Styela clava: one gene and its partner. The protein of the gene in region 2 purifies or fractionates together with the protein of the main gene of each other region. This does not show direct contact. Links are inferred from orthologs where the notes say so. Each region holds a gene or a part of one and is shown on either strand. Other genes may lie near its edges.

Region 1 (7,146 bases), on a different chromosome or scaffold from region 2:
CTTATTCCAAGTTTAATGAACGTATAGTATATATGTATGTCCAAGAGAAAAAGATGTTTGATAAATTATCTAGGAAATTTATTTGAAATACCAAACCGTTTTTAAATATGTTACGTCTGCATTGTTTATAAAAGTTTGAATACACGCTATGTTTGGTATTATATATGGCCAAGTCAAAACGTGCTGCTACAGTTCTGACATAATGAAATCAAATCTATAAGGTATCTGCTTTACTCCGAATGTGTCGTAGTGCTGCCTTTATTGGCGGTTTTTGAAAAATCGCCCTTTCAAAAACGATATTTTTTTAAAAACTTCGAAAAAAATCCACAAGAGGGCGTCAAATCATTTTTTGTTATTTTACGATTCGCCGTCTTATTCCAAGTTTAATGAACATACAGTTTTGATGTATGACCAAGAGAGGAAAGTGTTTGATGAATTATCCAGTAAATTAAGTTGAAATACCTAACCGTTTTTAAATATGTTACATCTACGTAGTTGATAAAATTGAAAATTATACGCTATGTTTGGTATTATATATGGCCAAGTCAAAACGTGCTGCTACTGTTCTGACATAATAAAATCGAATCTATAAGGTATCTGCTTTTCTCCGAATGTGTCGTAGTGCTGCCTTTATTGGCGGTTTTTGAGAAATCGCTATTTCAAAAACGATAATTTTTCGAAAATTTGAAAATAATCAACAAGAAGGCGAAACATGATTTTCCGTTATTTCATACTTTCCGCAACTCATTCCAAGTTCAATGGACGTACAGTATATATGTATGTCCAAGAGAAAAAGATGTTTGATAAATTATCTAGGAAATTTAGTTGAAATACCAAACCGTTTTTAAATATGTTACGTCTGCATTGTTTATAAAAGTTTGAATACACGCTATGTTTGGTATTATATATGGTCAAGTCAAAACGTGCTGCTACTGTTCTGACATAATAAAATCGAATCTATAAGGTATCTGCTTTTCTCCGAATGTGTCGTAGTGCTGCCTTTATTGGCGGTTTTTGAGAAATCGCTATTTCAAAAACGATAATTTTTCGAAAATTTGAAAATAATCAACAAGAAGGCGAAACATGATTTTCCGTTATTTCATACTTTCCGCAACTCATTCCAAGTTCAATGGACGTACAGTATATATGTATGTCCAAGAGAAAAAGATGTTTGATAAATTATCTAGGAAATTTAGTTGAAATACCAAACCGTTTTTAAATATGTTACGTCTGCATTGTTTATAAAAGTTTGAATACACGCTATGTTTGGTATTATATATGGCCAAGTGAAAACGTGCTGCTACTGTTCTGACATAATAAAATCGAATCTATAAGGTATCTGCTTTTCTCCGAATGTGTCGTAGTGCTGCCTTTATTGGCGGTTTTTGAGAAATCGCTATTTCAAAAACGATAATTTTTCGAAAATTTGAAAATAATCAACAAGAAGGCGAAACATGATTTTCCGTTATTTCATACTTTCCGCAACTCATTCCAAGTTCAATGGACGTACAGTATATATGTATGTCCAAGAGAAAAAGATGTTTGATAAATTATCTAGGAAATTAAGTTGAAATACCTAACCGTTTTTAAATATGTTACATCTACGTAGTTGATAAAATTGATAATTATACGCTATGTTTGGTATTATATATGGCCAAGTCAAAACGTGCTGCTACTGTTCTGACATAATAAAATCGAATCTATAAGGTATCTGCTTTTCTCCGAATGTGTCGTAGTGCTGCCTTTATTGGCGGTTTTTGAGAAATCGCTATTTCAAAAACGATAATTTTTCGAAAATTTGAAAATAATCAACAAGAAGGCGAAACATGATTTTCCGTTATTTCATACTTTCCGCAACTCATTCCAAGTTCAATGGACGTACAGTATATATGTATGTCCAAGAGAAAAAGATGTTTGATAAATTATCTAGGAAATTTAGTTGAAATACCAAACCGTTTTTAAATATGTTACGTCTGCATTGTTTATAAAAGTTTGAATACACGCTATGTTTGGTATTATATATGGCCAAGTCAAAACGTGCCGCTACTGTTCTGACATAATGAAATCAAATCTATAAGGTATCTGCTTTACTCCGAATGTGTCGTAGTGCTGCCTTTATTGGCGGTTTTTGAGAAATCGTCCTTTCAAAAACGATATTTTTTCAAAAACTTCGAAAAAAATCCACAAGAGGGCGTCAAATCATTTTTTGTTATTTTAGGATTCGCCGTCTTATTCCAAGTTTAATGAACATACAGTTTTGATGTATGACCAAGAGAGAAAAGTGTTTGATGAATTATCCAGTAAATTAAGTTGAAATACCTAACCGTTTTTAAATATGTTACATCTACATAGTTAATAAAATTGAAAATTATACGCTATGTTTGGTATTATATATGGCCAAGTCAAAACGTACTGCTACTGTTCTGACATAATAAAATCGAATCTATAAGGTATCTGCTTTTCTCCGAATGTGTCGTAGTGCTGCCTTTATTGGCGGTTTTTGAGAAATCGCTATTTCAAAAACGATAATTTTTCGAAAATTTGAAAATAATCAACAAGAAGGCGAAACATGATTTTCCGTTATTTCATACTTTCCGCAACTCATTCCAAGTTCAATGGACGTACAGTATATATGTATGTCCAAGAGAAAAAGATGTTTGGTAAATTATCAAGGAAATTTAGTTGAAATACCAAACTGTTTTTAAATATGTCACATCTACATAGTTAATAAAATTGAAAATATACGCTATGTTTGGAATTATATATGGCCAAGTCAAAACGTGCTGCTACTGTTCTGACATATTCAAATCGAATCTATAAGGTATCTGCTTTTCTCCAAATGTGTCGTAATGCTGCCTTTATTGGCGGTTTCGAGAAATCGCTATTTCAATAACGATAATTTTTTGAAATTTTGAAAATAATCCACAAAAGGACGTAAAATGCTTTTTGGTATTTTATACTTTCCGCAAATTATTCGAACGTACAGTATATATGTATGTCCAAGAAAAGAAGATGTTTGATAATTTATCTAGTAAATTTAGTTGAAATACCAAACGTTTTTTGAATATGTTACGTCTACATTGTTTATAACTTTTTGAATACACGCTATATTTGGTATTATATATGGCCAAGTCAAAACATGCTGCTACTGTTCTGACATAATGAAATCAAATCTATAAGGTATCTGCTTTTCTCCGAATGTGCCGTAGTGCTGCCTTTATTGGCGGTTTTTGAGAAATCGCTCTTTCAAAAACGATATTTTTTTGAAATTCCGAAAAAAATCCGCAAGAGGGCGTAAAATCATTTTTTGTTATTTTTAGATTTGCCACTTATTCCAAGTTTAATGCTATGTTTGGTATCATGTATTGCCAAGTTAAAACGTGCTGCTACTGTTCTGACATATTAAAATCGAATCTATAGAGTATCTGCTTTTCTTCGAATGTGTCGTAGTGCTGCCTTTATTGGCGGTTTTTGAGAAATCGCCCTTTCAAAAACGATAATTTTGTGAAATTTATCAAAGAATCCACAAGAGGGCGTAAATTTTTTCTCGGTATTTTAGACTTTCCTCAACTTATTCTAAGTTTAATGAAGTGCATTATTGTTGTGTGACAAAGAGAAAAATATCTTCTTTGATGAACTATCCAGTAAATTTAGTTGAAATACAAAATCAGTTTCAAATTTGTTGTATATACATTGTTTTAAAAATTGAAGAATATACGCTATGTTTAGTATTATATATGATCAAGTCAAAACGTGCTGAGACTGTTCTGACATAATGAAATCGAATCTTTGAGGTTTCTACTTTTCACCAATGGTGTTGCAATGCTGCCTTTATTGGAGGTTTTCATGAAACGACCATGTTACACGACGAAAATTCAGTCATTTTTAAATATCTCTCAAAAAATTATAAAAAAATTTTGTGCACTGTAACAGTCGCTTTAGCTTGTTTACTATATATTAACAATACGAGGAGTGTAGTTAATGATTGTTTTGCCTTAATTGCTATTGTGAAACTAATCAAAATATACACTTTCTTTTAAAAATCATTGGGAACATTTAATTTTACGCGTGGGTATTTTCTGCGATTCTGTCAGTCACAATTTCGTGTTTTGCTGCTAGCTTCACAGAGGTGATCATCACGTCTGTAATACAGTATTAGAGGTAAAGACTACATACCGGTACACTACAGTAAAAAAGTTATATTTGTTGACTGGGCTGTTGCACTAATAAGATGCCAGGTCGCCTCAAAGTCAAAATTTTATCTGGTCGTCACTTGCCTGTTATGGACAGGGCATCTGAACTAACTGATGCATTTGTTGAGGTAAGTTACCTGTCTGCCTGTAAAACAGCATGAGGGTCTAGTATAGTTTAGTACCACAAGTACTTCCAGTGGACGTAGCATAACGATTTTTGCATATGTTATTCCTAACCCTCACCTGACTATGCCATTAAAAAATTACTTCACTACGACGTCATCATCACGTCATAGGGATTGCCAAAGTATAATTCAGTAATTACGATCGCCCGAAATGGCATCTTGCTAAAGCCGGCGATCTCTCTCCTATCGTGATCGTTGCGACGAGAAAACGAGAGAAATAGCTTGCTCGATTTCGGGTTATCGTCTGCGCGTTTTGGACGACCATCCGCATACTTCGGTGAGCCTTATTACGCCACTGTGACGTCGGAATGACGTAATTTTTCGGTGACGTAGTCAGGTGGGGGTTAGGATTGACATATGCAAAAATTGTTGAGCCAGGCCAACTAGAAGTGGATGTGGTACTAAACTATACCAGACCCCAGGACCCACAGCACTGCAGCATGAATTACTTATAAATTTGTTCCGATAACGTATACTCAGCCTTAAATTTTCGAGACGTTGTTCTTTTACAGGTCAAATTTGGCAATACGACTTATAAAACAGATGTTTATTTAAAGTCACTCAATCCTTCTTGGAACTCAGAATGGTTCATTTTTGAGGTAATAAACCGTTTCATTTTATTTGGCCAAATATATCGTGATCCTAATTTTAAAATACATTTAGATTCAATTTTTGTTGTCCAACATGGTTTAAGTGATTTATCACTAATAACAAAATGTCTATTGTCTATCACCCCCTGAAATAAAAAGCTGGGAAACTGGTTTTCATATTTCAGTATTTTAATAATCTTCCAATTTAATCAGCATTACAAATGATAGAATAATTGATAAAGACAAGTAATTAAAAACTTATTACTGTATTATAAGAACTGAAGAATCGGAAAGTGGAATGCATTCTTCTATTCTTTTTCAAGGTTGATGATGAGCATTTGCAAGATGAACCGCTACAGATACGAGTGTTGGACCACGATACATATAGTTCTCATGATGCAATAGGAAAGATTTACATTGATATTGATCCACTGTTAGTTCCTGATTCTCCAAATTCTTTACATGGATGGTTTCCTATATATGACACAATGCATGGTATGTCTGTATGTATTTTGGTTTGTTGAATATGTTGTTTTGGTAAGTTAAATATACGATATAGCTTTAAGAGTCGTAAGTTTTGTCTTCTCACCGCAATTTCGAGCCTATTAATATCAAGAACTACATAATTTCTTTTACTTATCATTTTCATGAGATTTGTTTATATTAAAAGTGTTAGGAATGTGAGTATCTGTTACTAATATTTCTCAATTACTCAATGGAATATTATTTCCTTATCCGATTAAAATGTAATTGGTGAATATTGAAGCATGTTCTCGAAGAAAACTCATCTGAACAAAATGAGGAAGCATAACTGAAAACTTTTGACTTGATTATGCTTATTGCTGAAATATTGTCAGTGACAATGAAGTGATATGAAATGTTAATTTATAAATTTTTGTAATTTTAGGTATAAGAGGAGAGATATTGATTTCTGTAAAAATTGAACTATTCGCTGACTTCAATAGATTTAAAAAATCCTCATGCGGAATCAAGTTCATATGTGGTGAGTTAGTATTCTTGCTTACCTATTTTTTTACATATTCAAATAAATGTCCTAAGTGAATCAAGAATCTTGCTGCTCACTAACACAGATATATTTCTGTAACGTTTCGTCTGACCAAGGTCAGACTTCTTCAGACATACAACAGAAATATATTTGTGTTAGGGTGCAGTAAGACTCCTGAATCACTTAGGATTGTTATCTTTACTCTTGCTACAGCATCCTTGCATTATATGCATACGGATCCACCGGCACAAAAGCATAGAAGAAGAATAAGTAGTCAGTCTCGCACAAACCAAATCAATAGCGCAAGTTCAAATAAATGGTTCCTTAATAAATAAATAAATGGTGGTTTTGATCAAGATATATCAATATTAAAATTTAAAGTGCTAGTAGGTTGGGTTACTCGTACAGCAAAAGACGTAAGACTAATACAATTAACTGCGGTTCCTATTTCGCTTACCTCTTCTGCTATGGAAATTTATTCCAGGCGCAGATTCCTGAATTGATTCATTAGACTGATGTGAATAGTGTTAGTATACTATATTTTCTGAATCTCTTCTATGCATGACCATAATTCGGGGTTTAGTCGCACATAATGAACATATCATTGAAAACTTTCTGAAACTTCTAGTTGCGAAGCTTTTCAAAATCAAGCTATACTTTCCTATGCCAGTTGCTTTATCAACGCTTTTTTTACCCAGGTACTGTTATTCCTGAATGCTACAGAATATCAATAATACAGGGATTTGTAGAAGAACTTGTCGTGAGTGAAGATCCAGAATATCAATGGATTGATAAACTACGAACTCCTCGTGCAACTAATGAAGCAAGACAAAGACTGTTTTCTCAAGTTTCTGGTGAATTACAACGAAGAATAGGAACAAAGGTTGCTTGAAAATATATGTTAAAATTATGACAGAAATTTTGCATCACTGTGCTTCTATTATAGATGATATAATGGACTAGTTCTTCTGAAATTTCGAAAGTTTTTACTCCAAAAAGACCCTTTTCAGTCTTAAAACTCGATTAGTTGCTGTCAATGAAGATAGGCTACCAAACAAAAAAATTCATTCCAAAATTCTTTTCTCAGAGCTTAAGTTATATGGAATTCACTATCTTACATAGCTGTTTCCCTGATTGCATTGACATGAACTGCTTTAAGTCTTGCTTCAATT
Region 2 (7,623 bases):
GCGGTCTGAATCCGGACCTTTCGGGTATTCGATTCGAACCGCGCATAATTCCTCATTTTGAATCCTCAGCCCCACTTTTAAAATTTTCTTTATAAAATCACTTTTATAGATTTAAAAATATATATGAAAAGAACTACCTATAACGCCACAACAAACAAACTTGATTAGCTAATAATCATTAGTCAGCTGAGGAATTGCGTGTTTAAAGATGCCGAAATATAATTTCTGGAAAGTCCGGACCCAAATATTTTTGAAGTTTTGTTTGTATGCGCACCTTCGGTAATATATACTTGAGTAGCCCTGATATGAGTATGAACATATAAAATAGGATTATTCATAGCAAGGAGATTCAGATAATCTTTAATCATAGTCAAACTAGGCCTAAACTAGTTAGCATCTTGGCCTCAGGTTACCAAATGAAACCAGCGTCGGGTTGAAGAGAGACAAAAAACAACAGGAAATTTAAAAATAAGTTTTAGCAATAATATGATTGTAATATACAAGTGTTAATTGCATTGATATACCGCAACCAAATTATCTTGAACACGACTAGCTGTGGATGTTCAATAGAAAATTTGCTATAGTTAACCAAAAAGTCTTCCATTAAAGTTTTTGACCATTTAGCAACACGAGCTGGCTCTACAATTTTTTCAACAATGTCTACAAATAAGTCTCTCAGATCTTTAGTATGATATAGATCTGATGCAATTGTAGGAATAATACGACATAAAAGTTTGCAAGCTGCTTCAATACTTGAACCTCCTGCAGCAGAATTTTTTATTAAACACTCTTTACATTTATCCACAAGATCTCTATCAGATGCTAAAAACTTCACACCTCTGAGATCATGCAAAAATTCTCGATCTATATCTACGTTCATATCCAGAGTTTCAGACTCGGAATGACCATACGACCAATTTTCAATTAACACTTGCGAGCAAGTAATAAAATTATTAAGGGTCATATGACTCAGTTTTCGTTTTGTGCATTCAAATCTATGGTTTGCAAGAAACACAACAGTTGCATATGCCCATGATAAATCCTTGGGAAGCAAAAACTGTTTTCCTATATTTTCAACCAGTATTCCTGGTATTTCTTCAACAGCTTTAAAAACTCGCCTGCAGTTATCAAACTGTCTTATGCAGCTTCGTAAATTTATTCCAGTTTTATCTGCAATTTCATCCATGCTTTGATAAGTGTTTCGAGATAGTTTCTTTCCTAAAAGTTCACGTATGACAGTTTCATCAAATGTGTAATATCGTGTGATGAGTTCTCTCTGCATTTTTGGTGTCAGTTGGAAGGACATCTGATGACCAAGGCTAGAGGGTATCTTGAGATATTTTTCAAGTAATCCCAATGTTCGATATTGATCCAGAACATCGCTCAGAACTAAATCTGCAGTTACTGACTTTCCCTTTATCTTATGCTGCTTCACAGCATCTGTTGCAGAAACCCTGCGGAGCCATAAATCATATACATCCATATCAATAACAGTGTTATTGCCAACAAATATATCAATCTCTGGCTGAATCTCCATAATTTTAATCTAAATGACAATGAGTTACCTACTGTCAAACTATGCAAACAGAAGATCAATGCCATTTACATTGTACAAAATGCATATCAATCTGTCGATAGGCGATAGCTGGGTGAAAATCTAGATATCGAAATAATGCTAAAAAAAATTTTAAAATGGCCAATTTATTGTACTGGTGCAAATGTTGCCATATTGCTTATTGAATTGATAGGAACATTAGAAATACCACACGATACTGTTAGGGTACGGTACCTGTTTGGGGATAAATTCGTTATTACAGGTAAAATACATTAAAAAGACTGGAAATTGCTAATTTCCAATTTCTCCGAATTCATGAATTGGATCGATATAGCCTAGGGCCCGTTGTAATTAGACAAACAGATGACAACCAAAAATATAATTGGATCGATAACATATGGTAATTAGTATTCCAAACCCTAATGGAATCGATATCACCATACGCACATACGTCTGTACGTATAAATATGGTTTCAATTGGATATTTGAAAGAGAGGTACCGTTGAAAGGTCTTGTATTAGGAGTCGAATCGTCGTGATAAGTGCCGTCTCGTCTCTCGATGTTCTAATGTTGTATTCATCGTCTGTATTCCGTGTATATCCACAATATTAAACTCATCTACAACGTTCAACGTGTTCTTAATTGGCTAAAATGGTGACAACGTGTTCTTTATTGGCTAAACCTGCACTCTTCTTGAAAATTGAAACGATGCCAGTTATTGATATATTATCATTAATTTGATGATAAGCAGTGATATATACGACAGACCTATATCAGTTTTTTCAGACTTAATGATAAAAGGGAAACCAAATTCGAACCAAACAGCATCCGCATTCCAACAACTTCTTTTATTTTCGATTCTTGCGTTTGAAAAATCCCCAAATTATGGACAGGGAAATCCCCTACTTGCCAAGAGTTTGGAGTTTAGCAGGTGTCATATATATAATCGTTAGTTGTTTTTGAATGTTTAATTCAAAAAAATTGTTCGTTATAAAGATACAGAAAGTGACGAGACAAAAAACAGAAAAGTCTAAACTCATTAAGCGGTAACAATGGGAATGTTGGGAATTGCGGGAAATTTCACCAAAAAGCGGGAACGACGTGAAATCGCTCTATTCAACGGGTAATATACATTATAGTTAAAGTATGCGCAGACGATATTGCACTAAAAAGTAACAGCAACGGGAAATAGACATATGTGTGTGGAAGTACGAAAAATTGCACTCGGAAACGGGAACTATGAAAAATTTCACAAAAAGCGAAAACGACCGGAAATCGTTCTATGAAACGGCAAATATACATTTTAGAGTATGTTTAGCAAAACTGCACTGAAAAGAGAGAGCAAAATATACACATGGATTTGAAAGTACGAGAAATTGCACTAAAAAGCGGGAACTACAGCAATGACGGAAACTACAGAAAATTTTACTAGAAAGCGAGAATGGCGGGAAATCGCTCTATGGAATGGGAATGACGGAAACTACAGAAAATTTTACTATAAAGCGAGAATGGCGGGAAATCGCTCTATGGAATGGGAAATTTTCATTTTAGATAATGTGTAGGAGAAATTGCACTAAAAGGAGAGCAACGTGAAATATACACGCGAATGTGAAAGTACGGGATACTTCAAAAACACCTAAATACACTATTTTTTCACTCTTTCCGCCATTTCTCACTACTTTCATATTTTATTGCAATTTTCTGTTCAAAAACCGCCTTTTCCCACAATTTCTCAATACTTCCACATTTTAATGCAATTTTTTGTATGAAAACCTTTGGATACATATTTCCTGTTTTTCCGCAATTTTCTTTCTCGCCTGCCGCCTTTCTCACTACTTCCACATTTTGTTGCAATTTTCTGTATAAAAACCTCTAAATGCATATTTTCTGTTTTTTTCGACTCTTTCCGCAATTTCCTGTATAAAAATACTTAAATATATATTCCCTGTTTTTCAGAGATTTCTTTCCTCTTTCCGCAATTTCAATTTCAACATTTTTTTGCAATTTTTACACGAAACCCCTAAATACATATACTGTATACTGTTTTCAGCGATTTCCTTGCTCTTCTCGCATTTGCCGTCATTTCTGAATAGGGGCCTACTTTAATATTTATTTGCAATTTTTCGTATAAAAAAACCTAAATACACATTTCATGCTTTCTAACCAATTTTCTTACTTTTTCCGATCTTTCCGCCATTCTCAAATCTTCAGAATTTTATTGCAATTATTTATATGAAAACACCTAATCATAGATTTCCTTATTTTCCTTGTCTCCCAACATTTCCTAATAATTCTGCGTTTCATTCAATTTCTCCCTACAAAATACCTAGATAAATATTTCTGCAAATTCCACGTTATGACCGTTTTTTTAGGGAAATTTTCTGTAGTTTCAGTTCATTAGTAAACTTTTCGCTAGCCTATGTCCCGCGTTTTAGTGAAATATCCCGTATTTCACGCTTTAAAGCTTCCTGCTTTTTATTGAAGTTTCCCGTGGTCCCCTGAATACATATTTCCTGTTTTTCTGTGATTTTTACCTTCTTCCCGTCTTTTCTCAAAATTTCTCAATACTTATACTATTTTTCAGACTCTCAATATCCCTGCGGACCCCTGTGTAGTCGTCACGGAGTGACGTAAGTAACAGTGGATATAGAGGACTTGCACGGGTCACGTGACCTTGTTTACTGGACGGCAATAAAACAAAAACGTCCATTTGGCTCCTGTCAGTTGCAAGTCGGGTTATACGTTTCCGTTTTGTTTGGCTGTTGAAAATGGTTATTTCGTATTGTTCCGCTGGCTGTACGTATAGTATAGACAACGAAATGGATCTTCAGTTATATTCCACTGTTTTCAAAAGATCCGGAACGTCGCGCAATGTGGATATCATCTATTGGCAGGACTGCTTGGTGTCAAGTCCAGAAGCCATCTCACTTGTGTTTCACTGTTTGCGGACAACACTTCGTTGATGGTAAGTCATAATGTGCCGTTAGCAATTTTTTTGAATATTCATAAGCTCCCTCATTTCAATGGAAAGCAGATGACAAACTACTGTTATTGGTAGGCGTAGGCCTACTTGCAGAGTTGCAGACTTGACTCGTGTAAGATATTAATCAATAATTGCCATAAGGTATTGTTTCCCTAGTTAGCAGGTAATCTATTAGTAAGAGTGAAAAGTTGAATAGATAACTAAAGTTTAACGCCAGTGCTAATGCAAAAAATAACCAGAATTCAATTGAATTCTCCATCTAAGAATACGCTCGCCACCGCATCTCTGATCCCCCTGGGAGTTTCACAGGTTCCAATCCCATGCGGGGATAGTTATGTGTGAGGGGATTGCAGCTCTCCTCCCACTGAGGGTGGTTTACACGACCGCTGGTCGATTACGACATCCCCCACCATCAAGTCCATGCTTCTAAATCAAATAACTGGCTAACTAATCCCGACATAGAATGGTAATCGTACGATGTTGCACCTTGCAATCTGTCCCCAACCACAGATAAATTCTATCCTAAAAACTACCCACATTGGTAGGCATAGTTGCGTTTTAAATTGAAAGAAATCTTCATTAATGGTCAGAAGGTGTTGTCTGATTGTTTTGTTAGTTCGCAGGTAATTTATTACTGATCTGATACACAAACTTGGCACTGTCAAATGATGATTAGTGTTTAATTTATTTTCAGGAAAAAGGGAAGATAACCCATTATCAGCTGCTTATATGTCCCATCGATATTTGAATTTTCGCCAGCCCCAGAGAGGAAGAGAATAGTTAGAAAAAGGGGGATTTTGAAGAAAGGAAAAAGGCAGGACCATTTCAATAAATTCTGTTAAATTGTATGTGTTGCAATATTAATTTGCAGTTGTTAGCATAAACATTTAATGTGTCTTTCGACTAGACCTACCACACTTTAAAAAAAGCCGCCTACACCCCTTTTCACTAGAACCATAATACTGTAAAATATTTGATAGAAATTACCCCCGAGGCATCATATCTTCCATTTGAAAGGGCTGTGGAGGCAGATACATTTTTTACTCTAAATTATGGAATGTTACTTCCAGGTTATCTTATCCTTGCTTATAGATATCTTGAGGTTAGTGACTCCAACTGACCCATGCATGCCACACTGAAAATTCTCTTGTGTAGCCATAAAATAATAAGGCTGTTGGAGCCTTCAGACCTTGAAAACAGTCGAATCTGAGCACGATGGATTCATGTGAAACACGTAATATGCATTTAGAGGCAAAAATATCCCATCCTGAGCAGCACCGATCCACAACCTCCTGCCTATGGAATCAAAACATTAGACAAATTGGTGTACTGTGCGCATTCACAAATCTTTGCGAATCAATTGTGCCTTTTGACTAAAGAAAATTTAGCATTGAAATGGTCAATCTCAATATCAACCTAGTATCTGCAGATAAAACCAATTTTTTTTAAAAATACATTTTTGATGTGCTTTATTTTTCAAATATAATTTATAATTACTGTAAAGTGTGTGATACATTTGGTACCATGAATACCATTTGCAAATTAGCTTGGATTACACCCCTTTCAAATAAAAGTTTAGACTCTTAAGTCATATCTCATAATATTCTTTGAACAAAAGGTTGCGGCTAGCCGGCTACCCATCAGAATTTCCTTCCAGATCACAAAGTCGCAATATTACGCCTCGGTAAGTTTCATTGGCAACTGTATCTTGTTGTAGTATCGGTGTCCAACGTTAGACTAAAACCTTCACTACCAGACCCACCGAAACATTTTTTTTTTCTTGATAGGGTCGTCTTGAAGTTGCTTTCGTTAAAGCACAATGGACACTTTATCTCCACCAATCCACAGTAATCACAAGTTACTTTGTCATTACGATAAGCATCAATAAATGGATACTGAGGATGTATTATCAAGTCACGCAAGCTGAGGTCTTGTGCCACTGTGGTCTTGTTGCAACTTATACTTTGCCATCCATCTATTCCATTGTCGCACCCATATCTGTAAGATAATGGATACAGATAGAGTTTTCATAAAATCTAACGATCAAGGAGTGTGAAATTTAAGTCCATATCCCACCACAGCCACTAGTCGTAAATGAATTTGATTCCGGGTAGCATATCTTTTTTACCAATGACAATAAAAAGACATTTTGGATCAGTTGTACAAGCACCATTAGGATAGGATTTATCTGGGGAGGAGCCAGTTATTTGTTTTCAGAAGCATGGACTTGGATGGTGGGGAATGGTCGTAACCGATCAGCGGTCATGTGAACCACCCTCGGTGGGAGTAGAGCTGCAATCCTCTCGCACATAACTATCCGCGCGTGGGATTGAAACCTGTGAAACTACCAGGGTGATCAGAGAGGCGGTGGCGAGCGTATTCCTAGATGGCGAATCAATTGAATTCTGGTTATTTTTTGCATGACCACTGGTGTTAAACTTTAGTTATCTATTCAACCTTTCACACTTAGTAATAGATTACCTGCTAGTTAGGGAAACAATACCTTATAGCAATTGATTATTAATTCCTTACTGTCTCACACAAGTCAAGTCTGCAACTGCAAGTAGGCCCACGCCTAAGCCTACTAATAACAGTAGTTTGTCATCTGCTTTCCATTGAAATGAGGGAGCTTGTGAATATTTGAAAAAATTGATAACGGCACACTATCACCACATTATCACTCACCATCAACGAAGTGCTGTCCGCAAACAGTGAAACACAAGTAATATGGCTTCTGGACTTGACACCAAGCAGTTCTGCCAATAGGCAATAGATGATATCCACATTGCGCGACGTTCCGGATCTTTTGAAATCAGTGGAATATAAATGAAGATCCATTTCGTTGTCTATACTATACGTACAGCTAACGGAACAATACGAAATAACCATTTTCAACAGCCAAACAAAACGGAAACGTATAATCCGACTTGCAACTGACAGGAGCCAAATGGACGTGTTTGTTTTATTGCCGTTCAGTAACAAAGTCACGTGACCCGTGCAAGTCCTCTATATGTTAAATGTACATTTTTCAGTCGCTCAATATCACTGCGGACCCCCTATGTAGTCGTCGCGGACCCCAGTTTGG

The links.
Region 1: the proteins of acidic fibroblast growth factor intracellular-binding protein B-like (region 2) and C2 domain-containing protein 5-like purify together in Homo sapiens (affinity purification with mass spectrometry; 3 studies listed by BioGRID and IntAct, counting the BioPlex papers as one, with this or other methods). This does not show direct contact. The link is inferred for Styela clava from reciprocal best matches to the Homo sapiens genes FIBP and C2CD5.

What each region holds. Positions count from the first base shown.
Region 1 is NC_135251.1:23,303,493-23,310,638, reverse strand, and holds the start of C2 domain-containing protein 5-like, read left to right. Parts: upstream 1-4,125; 5' UTR 4,126-4,231; coding exon 4,232-4,321; intron 4,322-4,890; coding exon 4,891-4,977; intron 4,978-5,291; coding exon 5,292-5,463; intron 5,464-5,875; coding exon 5,876-5,971; intron 5,972-6,672; coding exon 6,673-6,857; intron 6,858-7,146. UniProt on the Homo sapiens protein: Required for insulin-stimulated glucose transport and glucose transporter SLC2A4/GLUT4 translocation from intracellular glucose storage vesicle (GSV) to the plasma membrane (PM) in adipocytes.
Region 2 is NC_135261.1:13,766,948-13,774,570, reverse strand, and holds the start of acidic fibroblast growth factor intracellular-binding protein B-like, read right to left. Parts: upstream 3,011-7,623; 5' UTR 2,056-3,010; intron 1,547-2,055; 5' UTR 1,538-1,546; coding exon 476-1,537; 3' UTR 1-475. UniProt on the Homo sapiens protein: May be involved in mitogenic function of FGF1. May mediate with IER2 FGF-signaling in the establishment of laterality in the embryo.